Linked DNA regions of Neurospora crassa OR74A. Each later gene encodes a partner of the first gene's protein in a complex. Links are inferred from orthologs where the notes say so. Each region holds a gene or a part of one and is shown in the gene's direction. Other genes may lie near its edges.

Region 1 (9,882 bases):
CGTCACTCCCTCACTCACTCCACCCGTCCCCCTTCTCCAAGTCTGTTGTGAGAGTCTCTGTCGGTCTTTCCTCCATAACCCCATTCCTTGTCGCATATACAACATGTCGTCTTCAGTCAGCAGCAGCCATGGAGGGCAAGCTACCCTCATAGACGGAAGGCCACCAAGCCCAGCCATGTCGACGACCACCACTCTCTCACCACCCAGCCCAGTCATTGGAGGGGGAGGGGGAGGAAAACATGATCACCACCCAAGCATCATCTCACATGATGCAATGGCAGACGTCAAGTCCAAGATTGAGAAGCTCGCCAAAGAGCTAAAGCAGCAGCAGCAGCAGCAGCAGCAATGCCGTCAGCAGTCAAGCAACAACAACACTCGTCCAATACTCCCCCATTTGAACACCGATAGCATCATCACCGCCACCACAGCCAAGAAAATAAACTTGACTAGACCTGTACTATCCCCTTTCTCTCGAGCCAAAAGCCACCAGCTCCAGCAACACGGCCATCAACCATCCACTCCCGGCCCCGTCATCCCAGGCCTCGAACCCGCCTCCCGCTCTCTCTCCGATCTTCACAACGAACGCTCCTACCTCTTGCATAACTTGCAAACCCAAGGCGAGCGAGCCACGCGTTTGTATCAGCGGTATGCCCATCTCGAGGCTAAAAAGGAGGCTTTGGCCTCTGCCACCTCTCCCTCAGACGGAAACAACGCCACTGCTTCTTCAGTTGGCAGCAAGAAGAAGAAGATCAAAAAGGACCTCTCCCTCCTCCGCAGCCGGATCGCCGAGTCCACGCAGCAGGAACAGCTGATCATGTTAAGGCTGGGCGAGATCCATGTGGAGTTGGTGAATAGGGGAAGGTGGGTTATGACGCACCAGCATCAGTATCAGCACCAGCATCAGATGGTGTATTCGCCAATGTCCGCTGTGATGGAAGGTCAGCAGGGGTATTTCGGTCATCATCAGTGGCATCAGCAGCAGAACCATGGTGGTGGTGGTGGTATCCCGGCGACACCATCCTCCGCCGACACCTATTCCGTCTCGCCTGTGGGAGGGGATGAGTACCTTTACACCCCCTCGGTCTTGAGTCCGCTTTCTCCTTCCTTTGTGCCTGGTGGAGGTGTTAGTTTCTTTGAAGATATCTGGACTCGACCATCCCAAAACTCACAAGACCACTTTACCTGTCCGGAAGAAACCCTGGCCCCTGCCCCAGGCCCCGAGCAAGAACATGAACACCATCACCCAACCGAGGGACAAGAAGAAGAGGAAGAAGAAGAAGAAGAAGAAGAAGAAGACGACCAAACACCCAAACCCAAAACTTCTTTCCAAGACCTCCCTCTAGACTCCCCAGCAGTTCCTCTCTCGGCAGTCACTCCCAAGTTCAGCACCACCACCAGCACCATCAGTACCGTCAGTACACTACCCTCCGAACACCTCGCCACCCCCATCACCCCTAGCAGAATCCCATGGGACGAATACCCGTCCGACTCTGAAGATGACGGGTCATTTGAGAGTTTTGATGCGAGCAGTTTTACGCCTATCGGCGTGACGACTATGAATCCACTGACTTGTGACGATTCTTTGGACAATGGCTCTGGCTCGGGCTTGGGCTCGGGCTCGGGCTCAGGGTCTGGGGTGATGATTTCTGAACCGGAGGAAAACCATGATGAGGAACATGAAAAAGAAGGTGAAGCAGAAGAAGACGAAGAAGATGGGGAAAGTGACGAATCCGCTTCCGAACCAGGGGATTTGCTTTCTGAGCAACAAAGAAGGACTGCTTCGTTCTCACGGGGTGGTGATGGCTGGACTAAGGGGAAGAACAACAACAACAAGCACAGGAGGCTGAGCATGCCTAGCTTGAAGAACCTGTGGCCTGCTGCGCTCGCGGCTGTTGGTGTTCAAATGGGGTTGGAGGAAGAGGAGGATGTGCCGGAGTTGAAGCTTGATACTGTTATCTAGCCTGTTCCTGGTTTTTTTTTTTTGGTTCTCGAGGTTTTCAAGTGGGCTCTTTCTTGCACTCTATGGTGGAAAGTTGGCAGCGGAGTTTGTGGCACTGGCGGACACTTTGTTAAGATGTGAAAGAGGACAAATCAAGTTCCCTATGTAGGCGTTATCTGGGAGGGTCAAGGATATATGCTTGAGTGTTGTATCTTGGAACTTACTTACTGGCTGTATTGGGCATTGCGCCAAGGAGCTTTGGGATACAGTCAACATTTTCTGTCCGAACAAAAACATCAAAATGGCGGGAAACAGGGAACGAAACGAGCCGGAAGGTTGTTTATGATTAGGTATATTAGCTCTGTATAGTTGTGTAAGCTTGTAGACAAGTCCTTTTGCCACTTTGATATCGTATGGCCGTTTCTTGTCCGTCTTATCTGCCAATGTCGCTTTCCGCGTCCCTGATCCGTAAATATCCTGTATGATGTTGATGATGATGATGATGGTATATGCGCCGTACATCTTGCTTGCTTGCTGACTTCTCTAAGCCAACCCCAGCCAGAATTGCCGTTCCGGTTTCCTTCATTTTCCTTCCTGACTTTATTCCCTATTCAAACATGCCGTTCGGTCCATCATCGAACCCTAACTCCTGCGCAGATGGTTGTCTCCTGTGCGCAGCACGTCCACTGCTAGGCGGAGGCGGCAAGAAAGGCATTCCTAACCCGCCGCCACCTCCAGTCGACGATGGAGGAGGAGGGAGCGAAAAGGCCGACAAAGGAGGCTGTGAATTGCTGTCCAGGTCCGTCGACAAGGGGCGATCCTGCCTTGCTCTCCTCCCAAACTTGGTCCCGCTCAAGTTCACCGTGATCGTTTCGCCCTCCTTCAAGCTATAATCCTTCTTCTCCTCGGCCTCCTGTTTCTTGCTTGACTTGATCAGGGGCGCCACGCCCTCGATGAGGCCCAGCGACTTTTGCGCCTCCTGCAGGGCCACGCCAAAGTCGAAAGACTCGCTGCGCTCCTCGAAGCCGACGCCGAGCATGGCCTTCTTGCCGGTGGTGGGATCCTGCACGCGCAGGGCAAAGAAGCGGCTGCTGTCGATGGTGGCCTCGACGACGGCCTGGGTGGTGTAGGGGGCGGCGGCGATCAGGTCGTTTGTGGCAGGGTCCTCGAGCACAATGTCGACCTTGACCGTGTCCTTCTCTCCAATCTGCTCGGGCGTCTGCGGCGGGATCGAGGTCTCGATGATGCGCACGCGGCCGGTGAAGATGTGCGCCTTGGGGTCGGCGGTCCAGTCGGCGGCCATGTGGCCCTTGGTCGAGCGCATAGGGGGGATCTGGTAGATGTGGACCGAGGAGGAGGTGATGTGGAGGATGCGCTGGATGGCATCGGCCGGGAGGGGGGCCTGCGTGGCCGGGTCTATGAGGGTCGTCATGATGTGTGTTGTGTTATGGTGGTGGTGGTGGTGGTCACGGTCGTAATGGTGTTTCTGTCCTTGTGATTTGCTTGCTAGCGTACCTAGTCCCTATGTCGGCAACTTATAGTCGACGCTCAACAGGAAGCCAGGGGGGGAAGAAGAAGAAGAAGAAGAAGAGACTGAAGCCAACATCGCCAACCAACGGGTCCATACACCTAGGTAGTTTCAAATGCCCGATGAAGAAAGAGACAATGACGGTAAAGGGTCCTCCGCTACTGTAGAAACCCCTAAGTTAGCTTCACATTCCCCTTGCTGCCCCTGTTCCATGGAAGCGGACGGCGGGGCGGAAGCCACAGGAAGTACCTAACAGTGGTAGCAGCGCAGATGCCAGGGGCAGCCTGGAGTAGAAAGGATCCACGCAGCCCCAGGGGGGACCCTCAGTGTTTCGACCCTGTAAAGAGCCCCCGAAAGGTCCGTGAGGTGACTGGTGGGCGGCGGTGACAAGCCGCAACACCTGGCATGGAAATCACCCAGGGCAGCAACAACCCCGCTAGGTAGTAGTGTACACTAGCAGCTGCCGATAGCGGGGCACATACCTAGCGGGCATGAAATGGAAACAAAGAATGGCCGGAGAGCTTCGTTGACGTGCAGTAGGTACACTCAGTAGTAGGTACGCATTGAGGACGGTGAGTGGCGGCAGAATACTTCAAAGGGCCGCCCGCACTTGGGAATTTGGGATGAAGAAGGTTACATGTACAGCTAGTAGAGGTAGGTACGCATCTTGAGTCACACTTTCAGATCAGACCAGACGCACGCTTCTTCAGAAAACGCTGCATTTTATCGACTCTGCATACCACAAACCAGATCATTGTCGCAATACATAAACCTGTACGATTTGACAAAGCCAAAACCTGCCTGCCTGCTCCAAGTCTCCCAAGTGACTAAAACACCCCGAACCCTCCCCACTTGGATCGACCGCCGCAACAGTGCTTCCTCCCGGGAGGACTTGTATGTTTTGGCAACGAAAACCACTTCCCACACCTTCACAATATCAACACACTTTGTCGTCTTCTCCAACAACCCCCATAGAAACATGGCCACCGACGACCTATCCAACAAGCCGCTCGCGGTACGGACGACATCGTCCACCTCCACTGATGGCGCCTCGTTCGAGTGAGTTTGCTTTGGCGTAATTACCACACGCGTCATAACCAAACCGCGCTGAACCCTTTCGTCGCATTGCTTGCCTCTGACCAAGACAAACAAACAGCATCGTCAAAACCTACCGCGACCTCCTCACCTCCGACCCCGACATGACTATGCCCGTAGCAGCCATCGAATCGCTCATCGAGCTCTTGCGCGTCACCCCTTCCTCAACAGCCATGGAAACCGTCGAGGTCGTCAAGACCCAAAAGGCCCTCCTCCTCGACTCGGCCCCGAACCCTCTCCCTCTGCTAGCCGGCGCCGACCTCTTCGAGCAGTACCTTCTCCGGTCGCTTAGAGGGCAGACCGCCGAGTCCTTCGACGAGACGAAGCGCCACCTGCTCAACAACCGCCAGCTCTTTGCCGCCCGCGCCAAGGCCGCCCGCGACAACATTGCCGTCATCGGTTCCCGCTACATGTCGCACCGCAAGATCGTCCTGGCCGCCGGCGGTTCGCGGGTGGTGACCAAGATCCTGGTGCACGCCGCCACGACCCGGACCAACACGCACTTCAAGGTCATTTACGTCATGGACGGCAGTCCGCACTGCGACGCCAGCGTCTCGGCCCTGCGCGACGCCGGCCTGGAGGTGGAGACCATCTCGACCTCCAAGGTGGCCTACGTCCTCAAGGACCAAAAGGACATCAACATCGTCCTCGTCGGCAGCGAGGTCGTCATGCAAAACGGCGGCATCATCTCGCGCATGGGCACTTCGCAGCTTGCTCTGCTCACGCGCTTCGCGGGCGGCTCGCAGAAGCGCTTCTTGGTTGCTGCGGAAAGTCACAAGATTGTGCGCAAGACGCCCCTCTGGCACCCACAGGTGTTGAGGGTCGGCGTCAAGCAGAAGGATATCAGCAAGTTTGACAACGTGGGCGTTGACCCTGTAGGCCAAGAGGCGAGGGATTGGGTGGCGGATCGCGATGAGGTGGATTATACCGATCCGGAGCTGATTGATGGCATTGTGACGGAGCAGGGAGTGAAGCAGCCGAGTCAGATTTGGGAGTTGGTTGATTATGAGAAGTGAGGGGGGTCTTGCTGCCCGATACTGAAGGTGAAAGGTGTTGAAAAGCGTGGGTAACAAAAGGGCGGTTTTATGAATGGATGGATGGATGGATGGAACTGCTTGATCATTTTCAAGTTATCGGTGTGGTTACTGTGGTAAATATCCTTGCAGCATTATTAGGCGTTTTTAACGGGAAATGGGATAGGTACCTGATATCCTTTGGAGGTTTGGTTGATGAAAGAGTCTCTTTTCTCACTTGCTTGGCCTGTGAAGGAAAACAAAGTACGTGCTAAAGTTAAACCAGGGATGCCTGATCGAGTGGAGTGACATATGAAACCACCCCATTCATATACATGTAGTTGACCGAAATTTCATAACCAAGAAAAAGATACCCATCTGAGTACTAACCAAGACTGCGCTATTCACGTCGTCTTCACTTTCCAACCAGCCATAGTCCACCACCCATTACACATACAAACACAACGACTCACAAATCCCTAACAACTCTCGCCCCCACCCAAGCATAAGGATAATTCCTCTGGTACCAATTCACAAAGCTCTTCCTCCCCGCAATCCTCGGATGCGTAGCCCAGCTCCCTCCCAGCACAATGTTGTGCTTCTCATCGAAAAAATCCGCCGTATAGCCGGGGTACAGCTCCATCGGCTCGAACCCCTCCCACTTGCGGAGGACCGATGAAGTCCATTCCCACACGCCGCCGAGCTCGCCTTGCCCGACAAGGGTGTTGCCTTTGGAGGTGATGGGCATAGGGTGCCAGTTGTGAAAACCGACATTGGCACCGTCTAGGTCAGAGAAGAGGTCTTCGGTGGTGATGAGGGTGGTGTTGCTGTCGGAGGGGGAGGAAGACTCGGCGGGGGTCTCGGAAGAGGGAGAGGATGGGGGAGTGATTTCCACGCCGTTGTTGGTTAGGTGGCTGTTTATCAATGGGAAAGATATTGTTAGTGCGAGCTGGACACGGGAGAGTAAGTCGAAGGGACATACGCATTAACAGCCGGAACCGTCCTTCCCAATTGTCTCTCAGCTTCCTTCTTCTTCTTGAGAGCATCGGCGTAAGCGTAAATGCTCCGGGTCTCTTCGAAGGTGGGAATACGGCCGCCCATGTAAGCTGCGCAACCGGCAAGTTCGTCGTAAGAGGCAAACACGGGCCAGTCGAGAGCGTGCTTGAGAGGCACGAGACCGTAGACTGTGCGGACTGCTGTCTTCTCGAGGAAAGATGAAGGGAGCTGCTGCTTGGAGGTTCTGTTGCTGTGGTGACCGCTCACGCTGTTTGTTGTTCCATTGCTAATGTTCTCGTTGTCCAGGCGGGCCCAAGAGGCAGGGAGCTTGTCGATGTTCTTTTCAAGCAGATATTGCGCGTACTGGTTGTTGTTAGTATCGTGCAATAATAGTTGCTAGGCAAACGTACCTCTTCGTTGGTGATCGGCCTCCCTTGAGCCTGAAAGGCAGCAACTTGAACGCGCCTTGGAGGCTTCTCGTTGTCCCTATTTGCAAGTTAATCCACCGTCGACTTTGACGGAAAAAAGGTCCACTTACCAGCCATAATGCTTGTTGATATCAGATCCATCCTCAGGATCATCCAAACCGATGGTGATCTCCTGTGCCGGAATCTTAAACCACTGATTGGGAACCCTCTCGGACTCTGCCTTCCTCGCGAGCTTGTCAAAGTCGGGCCGTGGAATATGGGTTGGGATCAGCGTCTTGTCGCTCTGTAGCATCATGTACAACAGCGTCTCGATATGCATAAGCTCGTGCTCAAACCCAACCCAAATGGCCCGACCCACATTCCGCGGAATATTCGCGATGCCATGCGCATAGAGGCCGCGTAACCGGGACCGTACCGTCTCCTGGTAGGTCAGGATTTCTTCCACCGGCGGCCATTCATCAGGAATCTCCGAGTGCGCATGACACAGCTCCGGGTTGTCGACATCAGGATCAATGCCTCGCTCGAAGATCTTGCAAAAGTGAGCGGGCTCTGACGGAGCCTGCTTGGTGGTCTTTGTGAGCTGGATGTCGAGGAAGGTCGGGATGTGACCGAGGTAAAAGATGCAGGCGTTTCGGAGCTTGATGGGCTTCTCCAGAAGCTCTTCCTGGGGAAGCATCTGACGTGTGACGACATCCCATGTCGCCCAAAGGGCCTCCCAGTCGTCCAGAGTTGGGAGTGCGCTGCGAGCGTACACCGAAGGGATGAGACTGAAAGACATCCTTGACTTGGCAAGCAGATGGAGTCCTGCAGTACGACGGAGGGATGTCAGCATGTGTCAATGGTTTTGACGGCGCAAATATTCGAGCCTCCCCAGCCCGTGCGCGCTACCCGAACACTGCAGCCCAACACCAGCCTACACATTGGTAAACTTGTGCCAGTGTAGGAGCTGTGCCCATCAGGAGACACCGCAACATCATATCATCATACGACTGGTCCGTAGGGTGTGGGGAAGGTGTGGTAACACCAGCCGGACGGCTCAAACGGGTAGTCTCAGAAAAAGCTGGAAACCTCAAGCAAGGAAAAGCTGTGAAAGCAACTTACCATATTCGTTGCCGTACGTCCATTCCGAGACTTGTTCCAATCCCGCCGTGCTCCAGAGCCTCTCTGACTCCTCTTTCGAGTACTTTAGGCTCTGTTCGATCTGGATCCTGTCGTGTGACCTAATCAACTCCCCCATAACCATGGTGTCGCGAGTGGGGGCGTAAAAGGCCTGGTGTCTGCCGCCCTCTTCGTCATACACATATTCGCCAATGACTCTCCAATCGCCCTCGATGAAGGCCGTCTCTCCGATAATTTCATTGGCGTTGCGAAGACCATTCAAGATGAACCTGAATCATCAGTATCAGTAATGGGCTGGAAAGCGGGAGCCGCCATGAGCGACAGAAAAAGGGGTATGACATACTCGTGAGTAATACCAACCTTGTCTGTTTGGTTATTGTCAGCTTGAAGGTGGTCTTATACCATGTCACATGAGTAAGCACAAACCGTTGTAAGCGTGGCTAGTATATGGTTAGCAATGTTCCTGATGACGTCCCAAGATGTTTGTCGAACACGTACTATACCCTCGCCGGGTCATTGCAAGCGTCAACCCCAATGAGCATCTTGTCATTGGGTCCAAGGACGTCCGTAAAGCCCTTGAGAAAGGTAGCGGCGTCACTGCGGTTAAAGTTGCCTAGAGACACGATCATGTCAGGATTTTCTTTGACCAATTCAATACGTATTCAAGCTTACCAATGCTTGACCCGAGGTGCAAGATGCATTTCTGTTTATTGATGTTCTCTGGGGCCTTGAGCCAGTCACGTCCATCGTCATATGTACCCAGAAGACCGTGGCACTTGACGTGCTTGTAGGATGGTACCTGAGCGAGAGTGCGCTCCAGCTCCTCCCGAGACAGGTCAAGGGCATAATAGTCAATTGCCTTGCCGGCGTTGTCTAGGGCTTCCAATAGAAGGTTTACTTTGCGCAGATTTCTGGGGATATGGTCAGCTCTTCGAAATCCAGGACCCCATTGTCGAATTGTCAGATGTTTACCCGCTTCCGAGCTCAATGATCATGGCACCTGACGGGATGAAGCTAGCCATTTCGGTCGCATGTTTGGTGAGGATTTTGATCTCGTCATTGGTAAGATAGTACTCTTCAAGGTATGTGATCTGATAAGGGTCAGTATGAACCAGCATGTCAGTCCCACAACTTGGATAAACTTACACGCTCGAACAGCTGCAGGCCTCTCTCGTTGTAGAGAAGCAAGGTGGGTAGCTGTCTAGGGCCATCTTTAGGTCGGAACATGGAGGTTATCTCGGTCTTGAGGTTGATCTCTACAGCAACGCGGCGGATGTCGATGATATCGGCGTTTGATGTCTGCTGCTGAAGCTTGGATAGCACATGTTGTCCAGTTGCTTTGAGCTGTCCGAGGGCACTGCTTGGGGTCATGGATTCGGCACTCGGCATGTTGAATTGTTTATCACCGATGCAAGCTTGGGGATTGAAAATGGGACAAGAAGTTCTTTTGCAGGATGAAGAGTTGTTGAGGAACAGTTGACAATGAGAGAAGTATGTAGTCGACGTCAGAGAGGAGCTATGTCTAGCTAAGTGGAGGTAGAACAAAGGGAGCTACAAGCTAAACCAATATAGTGAATAGCTTGGAGTTCAGGAACAAGAGGGAAAGATGCGAGGTCAGAGCACCCAGTTCCTGGCACGCAAATATAAATATATTTACTAGCCTTACTCAGCCTGGCAGTTGGATGTGATGGAGCCATGTGGACGTATGTGGGCATGCATAAGCACAGCAATGGACTCCAAACCAGCTCCCTCTTTCGTCCACTG
Region 2 (10,290 bases), about 1.1 Mb from region 1:
CGGCCATTGAGGACAAGGTAAATTGCTTCGCTCTCATCACCTTCGCGGAACAAAACCTGGCCAGAGTTGACCTGCACCCACTCGAGGGCAAAGTCGATGTGCAGAAGCAGACGCGGCAGTAACTCCGTAAGCCGCTTGGCCATAGTAAGCATAACGATGGGATAACGGTCAACGATCCTGTCAATAGAGGCAAGTGGAAGAAAGCCGACACAGACATCCGTTCTCGCAACAACATCGATAAACGATCTGTAGGAGGAAATGGTACCAACATAACCAGCAAGTCCACCCGGTTTGATCAGAGCCACGCTCCTTCGACCTTGTTTGCCTTTCTTCTGCTCAGCACCAAAGTTGTTGTTCATGTTCGGTTCAGGAAAGCGTGACGAATTGGCCCCAAAGGCGTCGGCACCAGTTGCTGAGTCATGGCCATGGTCTACCTTGGCTGAGGACTGGAGGAGGTCGTGTGATGAATCGTCGCCCGGAACACAAATGTCGAGGAAACCATCAATAACATAATAGAGACCAGGATTTCTCTCACCTTGCTCCACCAAGACAGAGCCCTTAGGAAAGAAGACGATCTCAACCTCGTCCTTCATATCGTGTGCGAGTAGTTGAGGATTGGGAACTGGTGACGATGAGCTAAATCCACAAGAGGTAACTGACTCCGTGTCGTTGTCGAACGGGTCGAAGGCATCCATGAAGCCAAAAGCAGTGTGGCCGGGACCACCCCTCGAACGTCGCTGGTCCGTAGGAACAAATCTTGGGGAAGCTTGCGTCGAATCCGGATTGACACTTCCGTTACCGGTCAGGCCAATGGCCCTGAACATGCATTCGAGCACCGACTCTCGGAACATGTCGTCTTCATCAAGGGCTTCCCTCGTGTCAAGAGAGACATGTGCGTTTCGAGGAGTAGAGAAGGGACTGAGATTTCGCTGTGGTCGAGGAGATGTAGCGTCTCGCGCTAGATCAAGCTGCGATGCCGGCCCAGACTTCAACTGTTGCGTATTCGTGAGCAAGTCGCCGGGGCTAGGCATGTCGGGCGATGGGCGTTCTCGACGTGTTCCGAATGCAGGGGTCGCCGTGACGATGCTCTGCCGCCTTTTCGAATATGCCTGCAATGCCACTTCTTTCCGAAGGGAGGCAGCCGAACGACGTCGGCGGGCGGCATGCGCATTGTGAAGAGCAATGCCCTTTTCGACCTCCTTCTCTCCAATTCTTTCCCTTTCCCGCTTGAACTTTTCCTTGAGTCTATCCAAAGCGTCTCCTCTGAGATGATTAGGGAGTTGCCGAACTGTATGCTTCAAGATGTTGCGCTCCATCTGCAATACTTCGCCGCTCAAGCCAAGGTAGTTGTAAGCAGTGGCAAGTGTCACTCTTTGAAACCTCGAAAGGATGACATGAACGATGTGCGCAGTGGCCTTGGGATATATCTTGATCAGACGCCTGAAGGCGCTGGCGGGGATAATGGCTATGGTAGTGTCCACTGTCGCTCTCGCAATAATATCTGGATGGGCTGAAGTGGTATTGAGCCTCTTCGGTACCGGCCGGCGGGGTACAGCAGGACGAGTGTTCACGAGAGAAAGTGATGGTATCCTCGAAGAATCATGAGCTAGGGGAGACATTGTTAGAGACTCAGCCGAAGCCATCCCACGTTGCATAACGTGGTTGTCGGACAATGGGGTACCTGGGATGGACGGGAGGGTATCGTTCGACTGCTGGAAGTTGGCGTTCATAGGATAACCAGGCATAGCGGTGCCAGGAGCGGAAGGCGTTGGGTCGGGGCTGTCGTCGTCGTCGGTGTCATGCATTTGGATATCTTCAGTGAAGAGTGACATGATAGAGAACAGTGATGACATGGGGGCACCGTTCCGCACTTCGGTCAGAAGCTGGTAGCGCTGGCGACCCGGAGCAAAGCCTTCCTCATCGTCGCTCTCGAACGAAGGGCCACTGCTTGAGCGTCGACCATCTCTGGCGGATTTAACAAAGATCTCCACCATACCGTCGACCACAAGACAGAATCCTTGCTCTTCTTCGAGGTTGAGGGTTTCGCCAGCGATCAGCTTCCTCGTTTGCATGCTGCGGGTCAGTTCATGGAAAACCGGCCTTTCCAGATAACCAAAGATTTTGATGGCGCTGAGAAACTCGTCAAAGTAGCTAGCTAGCCCAGACTTTACTCCTTCCTCCTGTGTTTCGGGGAACAGATCAACAGCTGGCTCTTTGCGCTGGGGCTCAGGAGGAAGCCGTGAGTACATGTTTAAGTAGCGATATCTGACTACCCAGGTCACTCCTGCCATCATGAACAACATAATAAGCACACTAAGCATACCGACGGTTAGATCCACCAGCCTTGAGTCCATGTATACAAAATGCGGCTGGCGGATGACTTACAGCGTAGTGGCGTTCATGGTCACCGTCAGACTAGTCGAAAAGATGTTGAACAGAAAGGTGGGTGTAGTGATGGTGGTCAGCTTGATGACAAAGTATAGCACACTCGAGATGCGGTGCAACAGCCAGAGGATGATGGTGAACCATGAAGTCGGGGTGTGTTCGGGAACCACATCGCTAGTAGCTTTCGAGACCGCATCGCTGGCGAGAGCGACGACAGACGAGAGGGCTTCTGTAGGATCGGCGAGGATTGCCGTCGCAGTCGTGGACGTTGTCTCGGAAAGCACCGAGCTCATGGCGTTGCCGAGGTTGCTAAGAGACTCCATTTTCAGAAGCCTGAAGCACCAAGCAAGCAAGCCAAGAGTTACCGGGCGAGCCCGTCGTGTAGATCGGTTCTGACAGAAAGAAGAGAGTGTGTATGTATGTTTTTGTTTTTGTGTTTCCTTTTTTTTATAGGGTTGTAGGTATCGCGGTAGTGTCGCGCCGTCGTCGTGGGGATGGTCGTGAAGAATAGTTGGTGTTCGATCGATCAGCGTGTCTGAACCCCAAAAGTACCGTCGCAACCTGATCAAGACCTATGAGCTGTCCCCTCCCCGATGTGCCTGTGGTTGAAACCCAACTCTTACTACCTGGTCTGCGGTGTCGTCGCTCTGTTCTTTTTCATATCGGTCCAAGTGTTGTCACCCAAGACGGAGACCGTCGAGAAAAGCGAAACGGGTGAGCTCCTCCAAAAGTAACGACATGTGCGGAGGGTTTAGATGAGCCCAGTGTCGTCGGGTGTTGGTCGGCCCTCGGGATTCGTTTGGGTGCCGTGCAAAAGTCGAATCTCCAAGTCGCCGTTGGTGGACAAGCAAGGTTCAGTGATTGAAGCTCCCTAGCTCGACGATGTCCAAGGAAGATTCCAGGCTTATCAGTGACTAACCCCACTGTCGGTTCACGATTGACGTCGTTGTTCCTGCCCACTGAGCTGGCGCTTGGCACAGTGGAGTTCGGGGCAGGTGGAGTAAGTAGAGGTACCTAACCGAGAGCAGGTACCTGCCTTTGCGTACCGTTGTTCCCACCTGGGCTGCTGTGCGCTTCCTTACCTAGGTACCCGACTTACCCCACCTCAAAAAAAAAAGATGGAGCCGCGTCTCACTTGCCGTCACGGTCAGAACGTGAAATTCACCCCTCAATCCGGCGCACCAGCCACAGCCTACTTCGTTCCCTCCCAAAGTGCCCACGCCACTTTTGCAGCCTGTCTGCACGTAATTTTTGGTTGGTACCCGAAAAATACTGCGACGCATCTGGCTAACTTTGAGTGAGTCCTTTGAGCCTCGCTGGACCCTCCGAGAACCCGCTGCCGCAACCAGAACTCGAACTTCCAGAGGACCTTTCCCAGCTGTGGCCACTTGCAGCGAAACTCGGTCAATTTTCTTTCTCGGCCATCAACCCCTCCAGACCATCCACTCGAATTCCATCTCGCCCATTGTCGCGAAGCTCGTCGCCGACATTACCCTCCCCCTTTCAACACCACTAACACCACCACTTATTTCACCGTTTGCCCCGCCCGGGAAAAGGCACCAGTCGCCAACATGTCGCTCTCAAACTGCCGTTTCTATGAGGAGAAGTATCCTGAAATCGACTCGTTCGTTATGGTCAATGTTAAGCAAGTACGATACACTGGGGTCCCGGTGGTGCGCATGCGCATGTGGATGCGTCAGAGCTGACCCCCAGATTAGATTGCCGATATGGGCGCCTACGTCAAGCTTCTCGAGTACGACAACATCGACGGCATGATCCTGCTCTCTGAGCTTTCCAGAAGACGTATTCGTTCCATCCAGAAGTTGATCCGTGTCGGTCGCAACGAGGTCGTCGTCGTTCTCCGTGTCGACAAGGAGAAGGGTTATATCGATTTGTCCAAGCGTCGTGTGTCCCCCGAGGATATCGTTCGTTGCGAGGAGCGTTACAACAAGAGCAAGATCGTCCACTCGATTATGCGCCACGTTGCCGAGAAGACTCTTGTTCCCATCGAGCAGCTTTACGAGACAATAGGATGGCCCCTCAACAAGAAATACGGCCACTCGCTTGATGCCTTCAAGCTTTCGATCACGTACGTCATTCCGGGAAATAGGCGTACAGCTGTGGGACAAAATGGCGGTATTGGACAAGATGCTGACATGGATGTGAAGCAACCCCGACGTCTGGAATGACATCCAGTTCCCCACCGAGGCCGTTGCCGAGGAGCTCAAGACCTACATCAGCAAGCGTTTGACTCCCCAGCCTACCAAGGTCCGTGCCGATGTTGAGGTCACTTGCTTCGGCTACGAGGGTATCGATGCTATCAAGACCGCTCTCCGCACTGCGGAGGCTCGCAACACTGAGGAAACCCAGGTCAAGTGCAGACTTGTGTCCCCTCCCCTTTATGTGTAAGTCTTTGCCAGAAATAGTCTTGCAATGTTGAAGACAGAGTGGAAGCTAATAACTATACACAGCCTTACCAACACCTGCTTGGACAAGAATGCCGGTATTGCCCGCCTTCAGGAGGCCATTCAAGACATGCGGACCAGCATCGAGGCTGCTGGTGGCCACCTTGTGGTGAAGATGGAGCCCAAGGCTGTCACTGAGTCCGATGATGCTGAGCTCCAAGCTCTTATGGAGAAGCGTGAGCGTGAGAACGCTGAGGTCAGCGGCGACGAGAGTGTCAGCGAGTCCGACGACAATATCCCCGAGACCGTCTAAAGCGCCTCTTCATTTTGCAGCCATTCTTAAACGGAGCTATCTTTGCAGGCTCATTGGGATACTCGACACTATTTTGAGGAAAGGTTTAGGGATGCATGTATACAGTTTTTGCGACACAGGGCTGGCGTCTAGGGGATACAAAAGTCCTTCAGGCGGTAGAGGAATCAACCAAAAGATTGCATCAAGCGTATGCCTAATGAATGTGAGCGAGGGACGAGGATTGATGAACACAAGACTTGATATGGATACATAGTCATTTTATGGATGCACTTGCTGTAACTAGGTAGATCTAGGCGTTCAAGGATATGCAGCTACCGGGGCTGATAAGCGATCTCATCGTTTTCTTATCGCCGCCTGCCCGGGCATGTGGCTGCAATTATTGTCTTCTCCATGTTAACACACAAGCTCCGTACTGCTCACTGCCCTGCTCACTGAGCACGTTGAGGCGAACATACGCCCTCTATTTCACAGCAGCATTGCGATTCACAGCAAAGAGTTGCATCGCATTGACATCTTCGGTAGCTCGATAACTCGCTTGGTCGGATAGCGATGGCGGCGCGATGGGGAGCAGGAATTCGGAACGGATTCCTCGGTCAGTTCTCACACTACCTCATTCGCTACGCAACATGGATCCCTCCATTGGTGGTCTTCAACGGCTGGGTTGCCGAGATCACACAAATCAAGGGGCCGTCCATGTATCCTTTCTTCAACCCGCACTACAATGAGTCAACACGTCGGGACATCGTACTGGTCTCTAAGTGGTACCCGGACCGGAACCTCAAGCGCGGCATGATTGTGACCTTTAGGTGAGATCCAAAATCTCATCCTACAGCATCTGGCGTGCCGCATTCGGGGCATTGGTTGGGAACCTGACGACTAACTGTAACCCAGAAACCCACTGAACCCAAAGGGAAAGGTCGTAAAAAGAGTGGTCGGAATAGCAGGCGACGTGATCCGTACCAAGGCGCCTTACCCGCATGAATACGTCCAGGTACCAGAAGGGCACATCTGGGTAGAGGGAGACGGCGACAAGACCAAGGACAGCAACTACTACGGCCCGATATCAGCGTGCTTGGTCACCGGCCGTGTCACGCATATTCTGTCGCCGTGGGATCGATTTGGGCGGGTAAAGTGGTGGGAGCATAACTTGCGACCGGGGATCAAGAAGGCACGCCATCTGCTGGAGTGAGCCATTGCGAATCGATACACACCTTGTTTGCGTGAATGGTTCATATTCACACATGCTGCTTTCTTGGGTGCACACACAGTCCTTGTGGGTTTGTAGACGAGATAAGATGCTCATCGTCAACAAACACCACGGGTGGGAAACGACAAGGGTGGCGGCAGTCAAACAAAGAGGAGGAAACATCAGCAGTTTCAGTGCTGGACCACAGGCCTCTGTTTGTTTACTATTGTCTCAGGGGGGTGCCGAGAGGTCGACTGATGTACAGAATATTCGAGGGGTCCGATGGTTACGTGCGGGTTAACAACACGCACGAGCCACATCGATTGCTGCATGAACCCTGCAACCCGACGGTGCGCCCGAAAAAAGGTGCGGCGCTTTGGCCGGATAAGCCAGTCTTGGCATTCCCAAGGGCGCAAAGGCGGCCGCGAAATTTATCAAAACTTGGATCTTCTCGCATCCATATCTCAGTTAGCCCATGAAGCTTGCGCGCCCTTGCCCGCCGCGGTTCTACAAAAGACTTGGGGGTTCGCCATTGACCATCGCTGCCCGCACCTAAGGCGGCGGAACTCCCTCGCCCTCCCTTCTCCTCCCAAAAGGGCGATGGTGCTTGGCTTCGAGGCAGCCAGTACGCACCCTCTGCACCCTACCGCTTCCACTTCCACTTCCACTTCCACTATTGCGCCGTCGTCGTCACCGTCTTCGCTGTCGCCCACGGCCGTCGCCGACCATGGACTTACACATCAACAGGGCTTTGGGACTATCACCGAAAAGGACTCACCGCGTAATATGACTCCTGACGATGGGGATTTCGAAAGGCGCCCGCCTTTGCTGCAAGTATGTCATGTCTTGTCCTGGGTGGTGAAACTCTGTGCGCCAACTATCGCCAAACCTTAGACTGTCGCTGACCACCATACGGTAGTGCATGCTTGCAGGCGGCTTAGGAGGGACAAGTGGCGACATGCTCATGCACTCGCTCGACACGGTAAAAACTCGACAACAAGGCGACCCGCACATTCCGCCGAGATACACCTCGCTGGGCTCATCATACTACACAATCTTCCGACAAGAAGGCATTCGACGGGGCCTCTACGGCGGCTGGCTCCCCGCCCTTTTGGGGTCATTTCCTGGAACTGTCTTGTTCTTTGGCACCTACGAATATAGCAAGCGGCACATGCTGGACTATGGTGTTCAGCCCCATGTCGCCTACCTGCTCAGCGGTAAGTTGAAGGGGGAAATCTGACAGGCAGAGGCTACCTACGCCTACTGACATGAGCTGCGGTTAGGGTTCCTCGGCGACTTTGCCGCGTCTGTTGTCTACGTACCCTCGGAAGTTCTCAAGACCCGGCTTCAACTTCAAGGCCGCTACAACAATCCTTACTTCGCATCCGGATACAACTACAAGGGCATGACCGATGCCGCCAGGACTATTGTTCGTAGAGAAGGATTCTCGGCCCTCTTCCACGGGTACAAAGCGACTCTTTATCGGGACATGCCCTTTTCCGCCCTGCAGTTCATGTTCTACGAGCAGGCTCAAAGCTGGGCGCACAAGTGGATGGGAAGCCGCGACATTGGGTGGCAGCTGGAACTGTTGACGGGTGCTGCGGCGGGAGGTCTCGCTGGTTCTATTACGTGCCCACTCGATGTTGTCAAGACCAGACTTCAGACCCAGGTCGTTCCGGATCCCACAGCACCGGCGATCGGTACCAGCTCAGCGACAACGCAAGCGTCCACGAAGGACGGAACCATCAAGCCGACCGGCACCACGGAAAGCTCAACACAAAAGCTTCAGAAAAGACTAATATCAACATCGTCACCATCAACTCACACGCCACGACCGGGAGCCGTTACCCTGGACACGTCTTCGGTATTCACGGGGTTGAGGATAATATACCAGACAGAGGGCATTGCCGGATGGTTTAGAGGCGTCGGGCCCCGTGCAGTCTGGACCAGCATCCAAAGCGGCTGCATGCTGTTCCTGTACCAGGCGATTCTGCGTCAGTTAGAGACTCGTATGCCCGGGGAACAGGAACGTACAGAGGTGGCCTAATGCTGCATCTCTGTTTAGCGCAAGATGAGCGTTATTGTATACCACTTTCTAGACGTGTTGGTTGTATTGTATCTGCGATGGAGACGGCGGCAAGGGAACATTTCAAAGAGGCGTTCAGGGAATGGTCGGATTGATGGATAGAGAAGCACAGAGCATTTGTATGAGTATAAGCGACATAGACATAGACCCGAGCCTTTTTTTCACGTTGGGACGGAACATTGGAATACTCTGCTCAGGTCATTGGGGGTGTTTGCCCTGGGGTCCAGTTACGCTGTACATGTGAGAGATAGATCATGTCAAAATACCAACGGATTGCCCAAACTGGACGGCGGGCGGGAGGTTGCGCCTTCAGACGCCCGTCATTCTCTTGGGCCCCGGGACTCGGATGGAGGCTCTGCGGGCATCGTTGAAATTCAGATGCGATTCCTTCGCCAAGGAACCGAAGTCCAACAGAACACGGCATTGAGAGACGCTCGGGGCGTACCAAGATGTGGACCCACCCGGCTAGCGGGGTGCTGCAGTGCAACAGTGCCCACTCCTAGTGTAGCTAGCGGGCTCAGGCGTTCGGGTCGTGCTTCCACTTGATCCTTCCAGTGCTTGTTTCCCGCGGCGCGGCGCGGATCGATTTTTGGAAGTGAAACATTTTTGAGCTCATCCCGCACAAGTGGAAGCTCGAGTTCGGAGCTCACGACAAGCTTCGGCCTCCGACCACCTACCTCTCTACCTCCTCACCAGGGCCCTCCCCCGACGCCCACCGCCCACGCGACTCGAACAGGGCGTTTTTGACCATGATTTGATGAGCGAGATGGAACACGGAAACCCGCGGCCATGTCATCACCACTTCCTGTCCCCTCCAAAGCTGCCTTGACAGCCCTCCGAGGACTTGTCGTGGGAACCTCTTGCACCCTCGCGCTCATTGCCGAAGATCGCCGACGACGAATCAGAAACGCCTTGACCGCAATTGAAAATGGAGAGCGCATCAGACAAGCCAAGAACTACAACACGGGCGGCGCTGCTCTGGCTGTGGCCCTGGAAGAAGAGTCATTGCTGGATGCGGGCGTCTCGCCCTTAGCTCCTGGGCCATACGCTGCGCTACCCACAGAGATCATCCGACAATACGATAGTGCTAGGGCCGCGGAACTGGAACGATTGCAAAGGGGCGAGGATGCCAATGAGTCAATAACAACACAGAGAGAACATAATTCGGGGTCACACCCTTGTGGACATAGCCGAAGAGAAACACCAAGGTCGGTTACACCCAAGAAGCGGACCCTCACAGGGCAGCACCACTTTATTCCACCGGTAGAAGGAACGTCAATCACGCAAACTCGACATATCCATCACAGGTTTTCAAGGAAAGCAGACAACGAAGGGGGAGGACGAAGCTCGCTCGCATTCCCCAGCAATGATCAGATTGTCGCCATGGTTCAGGAAGCTTGCAGAACCAGAGAATTGGGACAAATGGAAAAGGCCGCATCATTAGTCTTTGAAGCGACCAATCAGAACCAAGCACCGGACAACCTGAATGAGGCTTGGATGGAGGCATCTGCTTTACTCTGCCGGACCTACTTGGACATGGAACGAGCTGAGGACGCCGCAAAGATTCTATCTACCGTGTTAGCCCGTGCACCACTTACAGAGGCGCGGTACTTCGACTTCCAACCTGTACGGCTCATAGATTCACTTCTCGCCAAAGCGACACAGGCAAAGACCGGGGAGAACATATGTCCAGCCAAACTCGAGACGGCCATAGGTTTGTTCTTGCCAAAGTTCACCGAAAAGCCGGTGGTCCAGAGTGCCGAATTGCTTGCGGTTGGCAGAGCCTTGCTTGACCATGCTTTTGCCGTGGGGAAATCAACCAGGGCCATTGACGTATATTGGAGGTGTATCTCGGTCTCGGAGAGCCGGTATGACTTTACCTCGTGGGTTATCACCAAACTTCACGACTCTGGCG
Region 3 (10,221 bases), on another chromosome or scaffold:
CTCGGCACCATCTTCAACCATGCCACCGAGCTGGCCATCATGACCCCCCTCTTCGGCCAGACCTACCAGCGCGCCAAGATCTCCAACAGCAAGGAGGAGTTCATCAAGTCGCGCGAGGCCACCTCGGCCGTCATGGCCTGGGGCTCTTCCCTCGTCGGCTCTGCCCTGCAGTCGTACGGCATTGGCGCTCTCATCAACGCCACCGGCACCCTCAGCTACCGCGGCGCCGCCTACCTCGGCGGTCTCATCTTCGCTGCCACCTCTGCTCCCGGTTTCATCTCTGAGTTCTTCGTTGAGAAGCGCGCCTTTGAGACTGTCGGCATCAACGTCCTCGCTAAGCTGTTTGAGACTGTCGGCCTTTCCGTCTTCCTTACCTGGTGGGGAACGCGCACCAACCCTTTTGAGTAGTGGGTCACCCTATTGTAAAAGAACCTATCTACTACGGTATATCCTGTGGGAACAGTCTGCTGACATGGTTGAAACAGCGCCTCTGCTACCTCCGGATCGCCTACTCTCGGCCGGACAAGCTGGCGTGCCGAGTAAAGGGTCCTTTTTTGAGTAAGAGGAACTCTGGTATGGTTTAATGAAGTTAATGATAATGGGGAACTTGAGTATCGCACCTACAATTTGGAGTGTGGGCGTGTTCCTGGGCATTTCCTGTTTTTTTTCTTGGTACCCTCTGTATTGTATCAAGCTATTAGCATAGTATCAGCATTCCTGAGATGAATGGAAGACGCTGGCGATAACTCACTATTTGGCTCGTGTGCTTGTTGTCTGCTGGTGACCAGGAGTTGTCTTGCATCTGATTGAGTGTTGCGATGGTAGTTGGCCATGTCGATGTTGTGTTGTGTGTCGTGACATAGGCCAGAAGTACAGCCCGCGGCATTCGACCCAAAGACGCTTGAACATATACGAACTGGAAAATGAGAACTGATGAACTTGGTATTCCTTTCTCATATATACCGTACAAAATACAAGTGTTTACCCCGCAACGCCTTCCATATTTTAATGACAGCAAGTAGCCAGCGCCATAAATCCATAACCGAAACCAGGATAGACTAAAACCGTCAACCCATCAATGCTCTCTATCTATAGCTTAGATAAAAGCCCAGAACAACCAAGCCAGCCCATGGGAGCCGACCGGATGTGGTCAATGCGGAAGAGATGATGACCGATATCCGACAATCTTTTCGTGATGAGAGCGAGAGGTGGGAGGAGCCCGAAGCGGAGACAGAAATCGACATCGAGGGAAGAAAAGAGTGATAGAGGTTGTGATTAAGGCGTCACAAACTTGTTCCTCCTTCATCTGTTCCCCAAGCCCAGGCAAAAGTCCATCGAATAACAGTCTTTGCGCTCCCCGCCAGCGTCCAATCTCCAAGATGATCGGTCGCCTGTTTTCTTCTCTCTCAACGGTAAGACGGTCCGATTGTCTGAGCAAAAAGCACGTACGCACACGAACACTCTTGCAACAAGCAGACGCACAATCACACCGGCACCTGCAATAGTGTCATGGTCTCATGTGCTCCCGCTGTCGCCATCATGTCGTTGCAGCCTTTCATCTTTTGTGTGTTTTGTTTCGCTCGAGTCATTGCTCCCGCCAATTTAGGCAGTGCCCTTGACCTTGGCCTCGATCTGGAGCGGGTGAGTACCCTTGACCCAGGGCTCGACCTGGACGTTCCACTGTTTTTGCGCCGTCTTGACCAGCTCCTTGTAGGCCTCGAGGTACTCGGCAGGGTCGACCTTGTCGCCCTCCTCCTTGCCAGAGGACTTCTTGCCCTCGGGCTTGAGCATCACCACCGAGGTGGCGCGCTTGGTGCAGGCGGCAACGCCGAGGTCGGCGCGCGAGCGAATGTACAGGTAGGGAACGCCGTGCTCCTCGCACAGAATGGGGAAGTGCATGATCACGTCCATGGGCGAGATGTCGCCGGCGATGATGACGAGGCCGGGAGCGTCGGCGGGAGGGGAGGCGGCGGTCCGGAGGGGGCACTTCTTGATGGCCTTCTCGCACTCTTTTACGCCGCGGTGGATGGACTTGAGCTTGGCGCCTGTTTGTTTTTTTTAATCAAAAGTTAGCTTGGGTTCAGTACAAGTCGTGCGTGGGCTGCGATTGAGGAGCCTGGCAATGCAATTGGAGAGTAGTCACAAAACGTACCCTTCTTGATCAACTTGTAAATCTTCTTGTGGGTCTTGTCGTCGGCGAGGGGAAGGGCAAAGGGGACGAGGTCCTCGGCGGTCTTGACGACATCCTCAGGGTCGACGGAACCCTCCTTCTCGAGGTGAGCCTCGACGGCCTTGGCGAGCTTCTCGGTCTTCTCCTTCTTCTCCTTCTTGTCCTTCTTCTCCTTCTTGACACCGGCCTCCTCGCTCATCTTCTTCTCCTTCTTGTCCTTCTTCTCGGACTTGTCCTTCTTCTCCTTGATCTTGTCGGTGGCACCCATCTTGTCGGATTAAATGTGTGTGTGTGTTGTTGTTGGTGGTGGTGGTTGGGTGTGTGTAGATAAAGTTGGTGGTGGAGGGGGATGGGGTATCAAACAGGAATTAAAGAATGGTTATACAGACAACCACTGCAGTAAAGAGAAAAAAAAGTTACTGGGTTGGGGCGTCAAGGTATTTGGTATCGTGATGGGGCGGTTGATCGCAGAAATGGATTCTTCAACGCAGATTTTACTGGGTCCATCAAGTGACCCAGTCAATCAAAGCAGAGCGACGCGACCAAAAATTTGTAGGCCAATTGTAAAGCCGTTCCGCCCGGGGGCCGATAATGCAGGTGAGCGCCTGGAATTGGGTGCGATAAGAGGGACCAATTTTCCGATAAGCACGCGATAAGAGGAAATGTCTTAAACTTCCACCTTTTGCTTGGTGGGGCTTTCCATTCAGTACGACAGGGATTAGTAGTAGTCTTGAACTTAAACAAGGCCTGCTTCTAGCCTGCCGCAAACTGGCAAACAGCGGCAGTGCTTTGTCCTTGAAGGCCGGTTGCTTGCCTGCCCCACTAAATTTCTAGAGCTTGTGATACCTACCTCCAAGCGCATTCAGTGTGAGCCATTGACTCACCTCGACAATTCACTGGCAAAAAGTCCACAATCCCAAGCGACATTGGCCCAGTTCTGGAAGCTATTGTTGGAGAACCTTTTTGCGACCAGCAGCCTTGTCATTCCCCCCCGCCTATATCGATTTCATAGATATCCGTCCAGTACCATTCGTAAAGACCATACAGCCTCGAGCAGGGAACAGTCGCACTCTCACTTCGACATCACCTCCACAATACCTCAGTAGCACACAGAGTACTATACACAGCTCATCGCCATGGCGTCGTCGCAAATGAGCTATGCCCCCACGTTGGGCAAGCTCCTCAAGTCTCTCAACACTCAGCCCTTGGAGGCTTCTATCGAGGCTCTTATTTAGTACGCCTACGCCTGCTTCATATCTATCTTATATCAGATCCTAACATGGTTGGGCAGCCTCCTAAAACGTCGCCAAGTCAAGGGCGATGATGTCGCCAATGCCACAGCCCATATGCTGCTCCAGGTCGTCGCCAAGTCTAAGTGGCAGAACGTCGATCAGCTGCTCGCAAAGGTCTCCAACACCGGCCACAGACTTGCCCAAGCTGCTCCCACTGAGCAAGTCATCGGCAACGTTGTCCGCCGAGTAATGGGTCTTATTCGTGATGAGGCTTCCGAGGACAGAAATGCCGACGAGATGGGCGACTCAGTATCCGACCTCTCCCAGCTGCCCACAACGCCCACCATTTCCACAAGGCCAGGCCCCACGCCCCTCCGCGCCGCGACTCTCCCCATGTCCAAGTCCATGTTCAACCTTCTCTGCGTCTCAGAGACCGCACAGTCACCAGTTACCGGCGCATCTACCCCCATGTCCCAGGGCGCATCTGCCAACATGCATGCCCTACGGTCCGAAGTTATCGATGGCATCGAAGAGATTATGGACGAGATCAGCCAGGCGGACGACCAGATTGCGGGTTTCGCGGACATCCAGATTCACCCCGGCGATTACGTGCTCGCCTACCTCCCCTCCCCAACAGTCGAGAGATTCCTCCTCAAAGCCGCAGCAAAGAGGAGGTTTACCGTGTTCATCGCCAGCGCTGAGCGTCAAAAACCCGGCGAGGTGCCCCATGCTGCCCTACGGAAGAAGCTCAACGGTCTCGGGGTCAACGCCATCAGCCTGGCTAGCAACGGCTTGATGGCCTATATGCCTAGGGTGAACAAGGTCGTTATCAGCGCCAAGGCCGTATATGCGAACGGCGGTATTTCCACAGAGAGTGGGTGCAGTACTGCTGCTAGGGCAGCGCAGGAGTACTCCAAGCCCGTTATCGTTCTAAGCGGTGTTTACAAGTTCTGCCCCGTAGATCCGTCGGACGATGGGACCGAGTTCGAGCAGGGAGATTCTTCGACGTATGTCGACTATGCCGACGGTGAGGCCGTCGATGCCCTCGAGGTAGAGAACATCGTGGGCGAGTACCTGCCACCCCAATACGTCGATGTATACCTAACAAACCTGTAAGCCCTGAACCCATAATTTTGATGACTGAAGAACCCCAACACTAACAACTTTACAGTGGCCCCCAAACACGAGATCATCTTGCCACCATCATGGCCGACCATTACAAGCTCGAAGATATGGGCTTGTCTTTGCATCTGCCTTAGAAGCCGAAGAGAAAAAAATGAAGAAAATAAAAAGACGCGGTTAATAATGTATCATGCTGCCGGTCCAATGCAATACTCGTTCAAATACCTCTCGACTGTTCCTGGTTCAACCTGGCCGACCAATATGCGTTCCGAAAATACAACATCGTGCGTTGCATATATGTCAACTGAAGAGTCATATCTGTACCCATAAACTTGTTTGTTCCTTATCATCGTGCATATTTCGGTAGTCCCGATGGCGAGGTTTTGCGGATTCACCGGACTCAGTAGCTTTGGACGCTGGCAGAGGCTTCGACGGGCATGGTTAGATGGGGTGAAGGGACAAGATGTGTCGCTTTTTCTTGCTGGGCCGCCATCGAACTTAAGGATCTAGATGAGTGCAGTACAGCATCACGTAAGGATATCGTATATAAGCAGGAATCGGGGCCTCCGCTGCGGACATCGGATGCTGTTATGTCGGACTTCATCTGCGCGCCGAAATATATTTCCCTGGAAAATACATCTCCCTGCACAGGGAGTCTGACAGATACTTAAACTTGCCCATCCATTCTCTTTCCACTCGAATTAATTCCCTCTCTTTTTCTCGTCATCCGTCTACGTACTCGGTTCCTCGCTCCTTAGGTCATTTATCCACGTAAATCAATACATCAACGGCTTGTCCTTACTTCACGATCCTTCAGACACCGATACTTGTCTATCGCGTCCCTTTCTTCGAGCGGGAGTCATTCTCCGTCTTCTCCAGCTCCTTTTTCATACCATCCACGTGACTGTTTGGGGCTACATCCTCACGGTCTACGCTCGAACGGCCTACACACGTACGGTCTATATACCTACACTACACACAACCACTGTTCAAGACTCCTACAGTGCAAATCCCCACGGGTCATTACCTCCGATCATGATCCCATAGTCTATCCATCTACGACCTACATACCTACCTACGATCCGTACACCGACGGTCCAAAAACCCACGACCATCGTCCACATAGCTCAACCCGTTACCTCCTCGGGGAATCCGCTCCAACCTCAAATCATACGCTCGCTCGGCCGGATCGCGATAATCCAACCAGTCAAAGTCAACTACCACCAAAATGTCACACGCACGCTCCTCGTTTTTATTTCAAGTCCTCTCCCTTTCCACCGACACCCCCACGACTTCTTTCACTAGCCCCCCGCAAGAACAACCTGCCACCGCTGCCGCCGCATATCCTCCTCTCGGCTCTCCGAGAAGTGCACCCACAGACTGGCCCGACGAAGCGGAGGAGATAATCTGCTACTACAAAAAGATGCGCGAAGAAGGCAACTCACCCCTCCTTGACCCCGCGAGGGTACCTGATGATGTTTATATGGGTATGGAGGAGGACATCAAGAACCGGCGCCTTTTGAATAAATGGAAGAAGAGAAGAGATCTCGACGATTTTAGGAAGTTTGTTATGGATTACTTTGGGATTGTTGAAGAGAGAGAGGAAGAAGAAGAAGAAGAAGGACTCGAGGAAGAAGAAGAGGAGGACGATGAAAAGGACCTTGAAGAATACGAAGACCTCGAAGATGACCTTGAAGAAGACCTCTCGGACCTCGAAGACCTTGAAGAATACGAAGACCTCGAAGACGACCTTGAAGAAGACCCCTCGGACCTCGAAGACGACCTTGAAGAAGACCTCTCGGACCTCGAAGAAGACCTCTCGGGCCTCGAAGAAGACCTCTCGGGCCTCGAAGAAGACCTCTCGGGCCTCGAAGAAGACCTCTCGGACCTCGAAGACGACCTTGAAGAAGACCTCTCGGACCTCGAAGACGACCTTGAAGAAGACCTCTCGGACCTCGAAGACCTTGAAGACGAACACCTCGAGGAAAAAGATGACTCAGAAGACGACTGGGACCCCATCTCAGACCTGGAAGATTTCTCATTCTATAATGACGAGGAACACGATGACGAGGAACACGATGACGAGGAACACGATGACGAAGAACACGATGACGAAGAACACGATGACGAGGAATACAATAACGAAGAACACGATGACGAAGAACACAATAACGAAGAACACGATGACGAAGAACACGATGCCGATGAACACGATTACTACAGCGATATTATTGAGGGGCTCTCCGACTACGAGCTTCACATCCGCAACATCATCCTATACTTGCACTTGAGAAGCCACGTCGAGCCATTACCCTGGCGTACCCTCCGCTCCATGGCCGAGCTGCACGCCAGCCTGCTTGGCGACATACGAGATGCCTATCATGCCAGACAACAACAACAACAACAACAACAACAACAACAACAACAACAACAACAACAACAACAACAACAACAACGGGACCGCCTTTACAGGTCAAACGCCGAACCAGGCGCAGCAGAGATCATACGGCGGGCGGCAATAGCAACGGCGTCAAATGCGGAATCTATGCGCTTGTTACGGGACTACCGTGCTCGTCTCCGCGCTGAATTGCAAGAGGCTTGTCGGGCTAGGGAGGTCAGGCGAAGTCTGGCAAGGATGTCAGAGGCAGCAATAGTAGCAGACTTGGCAGCATTGAACGGCTGGTAGTGATAGAAGCAGCAGTAGGTAGGGAAGTGTGGGGAGCTTTTTTTTTTTTTTTTTGTGGTGTTGGGTATATACTTGCTTTAAAAGAGAAGTTATGATAGCGAAATGGAGCAGATTGAGTGATTGTTGCTTTTGACTTACTTTGTGTTTCGGCAATTACTTGTAAGAAAAAAAAACTGTGGTAATGATTCCGACTTTCCGAGATCGACGAGAGCATAGGTAAATGTTGACGAGTCTAGTGCGTCTTGTAGCTGTTACCTTTGCATTTCGAGTTTATATAGATACCTCCGATATGTTGCTCCTCGTCGCAAAGTTCGTAGTGTGGATCGATCTGTCTTGTGTTGTGGACATTCTCAAAGATGTATTCCGAGTACTCAGCTTGAATACTTGCAGACAAAGAGTGCTACCGAAAATCATTTGAACTGTATCTTATGTACTAATAATCTCTATTGACTTTTACACACCTATTGCTTCTGCTCGTATTGCTGACCAGGAACAGGGAAGCGGAAGGCGCACTTGAAGGGCCACATCTGAGCCTATATTATATCATTTATAATTCGCATTAGCATCCACACCTGAACCTTTGACGCATCACGTTCCTCCAAGACTGTCGAGACTTCTACTACGTAGCTTTCTAAAAGGCAGCAGAATGAACTGAGGACAGGGGAAGAAAGCTTACGTTGTCAACGTCCCAAACGCCCTTTTGGGCATACACATCGTCCTTGAGGATCTTGATCACCTCCTCGCGGCTCTCGGCGACTAGGACAATGGTGCTGCCGGCGAACTTGAAGGTCTTGGGGTCGTCGGAGGTAGGGGGCTCGGAGAGAACGGCGCCTTTTGAGTATGTTAGCACTCGTCTCTATTGATACAAGGGAAGGGTTCATGTGTGTGTAAGACGAGAGCATGTGTATGAGATCAAGCAGGTGCAGAGTTATCAAGAACCCCCCCAGAGCTGGGGAGTGGTGCACTGTTGAAGGTATTCTAAGGTGAAGTGAAAGTCAAACGAGACGGAGTGAAGTGATGTAAAGTATAACTTGAGAAAAAGACCTACCGCCCATCTGGAAACACCCATTATCGACGTTCTTGCCGAGACCGGCAAAGTGATCACTATATCCCCAACACATTCAGTCAGTAACCTCTTCGCACTCATTCTCTACCTACTGTAATCAAACAGATGAGTGCAAACTCACGGGCGAACCTCCAACCTCTTCTCGCCAACGCCCTCAAAGTCCGGCACGACAACGAGCCACTCAATCTTCTTTCCGGCGGTGGTAGTAGAGGTAGAGGTAGCCATTGTTCGGATATGATGATGTCTCTGACTAAAGAAGAAGTTGTTGGAGATGCGGGGTGATGATGATTCGGGGTTCGTGACGGTAGTTGAAGAAGAGTTGAAGAATGATAACGTGGAGGAGAAAAAGAAAGATGATGATGGGCGGCGGCTAAAGCGGCTGTTCAAGTTGCTGTGGAGAGCTTGTCCGAGTTGGAGGGTGCGAGATCGGGAGGAGGAGGCCATAGTTATGGTCTGACTTTAGAGATAAGTGAGTGTACTGGAATCAAGGACGGATACGTTCGGTACAAAAGTTGCGTGCGTTGCGAAAGAAAAAAAAAGGAGGGGTTACTGTACTAGCTAGGTAGGTATACGGGATAATACCCGAGCTAAATGTTACAGTGTCTCAACGAAGGAAGCCGAAGAGGTTGGCTTTTGTTTACTTTTGGCTGCTAGTTGCACTGCCACGGAGTACAATCTGGTGCTAGTTTGTTTGTTAGCTCGGTACCCAGGGGTATTTCTGCGAAATTGGATGAGATCCGATCTGAATTGTCTCACACCAATCAACAAGGTTCAATGTGTTATATTCTATCTGAAAATAAGCATATTCGTATCCAAATTCCACTTTCGTCGAATGATGCCACAAATCAACTAAATATAGTACGTCTAAGGAAGTTGATACTAGGTCTCGAGCTAACAGTCTAACCAGTATTGAACTGTATCCTCCGGGGTAATCCGGAGATGGTGGGTCTAGCGTAGCGTGGGTTTAATGTGGCCGTAGAGGTACCTATCTGCGCTACGAACGACATGTCCAGACATCACAGTTCGGACAACAATTACACAGAAGATTGTTTAACTGGCACTTTAACTTCTTTTTCATCATTCGTAAAGCAGCTTCTAGACGTATCCGTTCTTTTTCCAGCTCTGGCGTTTCAACTCGGCTTGAGATCATACCATGGCCGTTCCCCCCACCCCAGTTTACTTCCAAGCACTAAGTATGTACTCGTCCACCCTAATTGACAATGAGCACCGCACTGGGAACCAACCCAGCCTCCTTCAGCGTCTGGCCAAAGTCCACTCCGGCTTGCCACGTCTTCCGGGGGAACGTCGTAGAGAAGCTCGCAACCGGGACTCCGTTCTCCGACTCCAACTGCTGAGCAAGCTCAAACAGCGTGGCATCCGCAGCCAGTGTCTTCATAACATTTCCCTTGGCAGTTTGCAACCTCAGACGAGCCTCATTGTGGGAGGCAGCCGGCTTCGAAGCAGCCGGCGCAGCGGCGGCGGCAGCAGGCGCGGTTGAGGGAGCGGCCGGAGCTCTACCCTCGCGAAGCGCCTTTGCTTCCTCCTCCTTGCGCCTCCTCTCGGCCTTGTCGGCTTCGATCTTGGCCTTGATGCGTTTCTTGGCCTCGATGTCGTCGAGCTTCTCTTGACGCTTGCGGGCAGCCTCCTTCATTTGCTCTTTACGCGCCAGCTCCTCCTTCATGTCTTGTGATTCCTTGGTAGCCTTGCGCTTGATTTGCTATACATATTTGTTAGCATGCTTGGAATGCGGCTGGGGACATTCTGACATCGTACCTCATTGCGCTTCTGCTCCTCCTTGTCAACAAGTGCCTGCCTCTCCCGCTTCTCCGCGAGCTTTTGGCGGAGCTCCTCCAGCCTTTGCTTCTTCTCTTCCTCCGTTAGAGGAGCAATTTCTTCGGTAGATTCGGAGAAGTCGGTGTGCTGACTATGGTAGAGTTAGCTTGGT

Evidence for each region. Proteins that work in one complex are often made in the same cells at the same time.
Region 2: the proteins of NCU04344 (region 1) and NCU08277 are in contact, whole or in part, in a cryo-EM structure (PDB 6I3M), measured with the Saccharomyces cerevisiae proteins. The link is inferred for Neurospora crassa OR74A from reciprocal best matches to the Saccharomyces cerevisiae genes GCN3 and SUI2. Residues at the interface, in NP_012951.1 of Saccharomyces cerevisiae: Pro39, Glu40, Thr41, Ala42, Ala43, Glu44, Ile46, Asn47, Lys50, Met74, Leu78, Leu81, His82, Tyr84, Asp86, Trp87, Arg238, Asp305; in NP_012540.3 of Saccharomyces cerevisiae: Glu29, Met30, Tyr33, Met45, Leu47, Leu48, Ser49, Glu50, Arg53, Arg55, Ile56, Arg57, Ser58, Lys61, Arg75, Asp77, Tyr82, Ile83, Asp84, Arg88.
Region 3: the proteins of NCU04344 (region 1) and NCU08952 are in contact, whole or in part, in a cryo-EM structure (PDB 6QG2), measured with the Saccharomyces cerevisiae proteins. The link is inferred for Neurospora crassa OR74A from reciprocal best matches to the Saccharomyces cerevisiae genes GCN3 and GCD7. Residues at the interface, in NP_012951.1 of Saccharomyces cerevisiae: Phe76, Arg79, His82, Leu83, Tyr84, His93, Asn97, Leu100, Ile115, Asp118, Phe119, Ile120, Ala121, His221, Arg224, Glu278, Thr281, Ala282, Gly288, Val289, Leu290, Thr291, Pro292, Ser293, Ala294, Ser296, Glu297, Glu298, Lys301, Met302; in NP_013394.1 of Saccharomyces cerevisiae: Val113, Pro116, Ser119, Ser120, Met121, Phe122, Leu125, Gln126, Lys127, Val267, Asn268, Glu283, Arg286, Arg289, Tyr305, Phe307, Asp308, Lys311, Pro343, Glu344, Asn345, Pro358, Ser359, Phe360, Tyr362, Arg363, Trp366, His375.

Annotation. Positions count from the first base shown.
Region 1 is NC_026504.1:3,701,396-3,711,277, forward strand, and holds NCU04344 (translation initiation factor eIF-2B alpha subunit), read left to right. Parts: upstream 1-4,128; 5' UTR 4,129-4,446; coding exon 4,447-4,526; intron 4,527-4,623; coding exon 4,624-5,578; 3' UTR 5,579-5,958; downstream 5,959-9,882. Other genes in the region: NCU04346 (hypothetical protein), read left to right, coding at 104-1,960; NCU04345 (adaptin ear-binding coat-associated protein 2), read right to left, coding at 2,547-3,371; egt-1 (DUF323 domain-containing protein), read right to left, coding at 6,045-6,489, 6,558-6,934, 6,982-7,057, 7,110-7,803, 8,101-8,387, 8,462-8,483, 8,545-8,558, 8,617-8,731 and 3 more. UniProt on the Saccharomyces cerevisiae protein: Acts as a component of the translation initiation factor 2B (eIF2B) complex, which catalyzes the exchange of GDP for GTP on the eukaryotic initiation factor 2 (eIF2) complex gamma subunit.
Region 2 is NC_026504.1:2,565,297-2,575,586, reverse strand, and holds NCU08277 (eukaryotic translation initiation factor 2 alpha subunit), read left to right. Parts: upstream 1-3,519; 5' UTR 3,520-3,956; coding exon 3,957-4,034; intron 4,035-4,103; coding exon 4,104-4,474; intron 4,475-4,553; coding exon 4,554-4,790; intron 4,791-4,856; coding exon 4,857-5,103; 3' UTR 5,104-5,494; downstream 5,495-10,290. Other genes in the region: NCU08276 (hypothetical protein), read right to left, coding at 1-2,313, 2,386-2,708; NCU16791 (mitochondrial inner membrane protease subunit 2), read left to right, coding at 5,653-5,909, 5,995-6,292; NCU08278 (mitochondrial carrier protein), read left to right, coding at 7,248-7,506, 7,573-8,336; NCU08279 (hypothetical protein), read left to right, coding at 9,165-10,290. UniProt on the Saccharomyces cerevisiae protein: eIF-2 functions in the early steps of protein synthesis by forming a ternary complex with GTP and initiator tRNA. This complex binds to a 40S ribosomal subunit, followed by mRNA binding to form a 43S pre-initiation complex.
Region 3 is NC_026505.1:5,798,004-5,808,224, forward strand, and holds NCU08952 (translation regulator GCD7), read left to right. Parts: upstream 1-2,971; 5' UTR 2,972-3,306; coding exon 3,307-3,404; intron 3,405-3,461; coding exon 3,462-4,514; intron 4,515-4,573; coding exon 4,574-4,661; 3' UTR 4,662-5,321; downstream 5,322-10,221. Other genes in the region: NCU08949 (hypothetical protein), read left to right, coding at 1-407, 486-543; NCU08951 (ribosome biogenesis protein Nhp2), read right to left, coding at 1,603-2,045, 2,153-2,438; NCU08953 (hypothetical protein), read left to right, coding at 5,753-7,210; NCU08954 (hypothetical protein), read right to left, coding at 7,672-7,743, 7,887-8,041, 8,259-8,314, 8,398-8,720; NCU08955 (UBX domain-containing protein, variant), read right to left, coding at 9,487-9,993, 10,050-10,200. UniProt on the Saccharomyces cerevisiae protein: Acts as a component of the translation initiation factor 2B (eIF2B) complex, which catalyzes the exchange of GDP for GTP on the eukaryotic initiation factor 2 (eIF2) complex gamma subunit.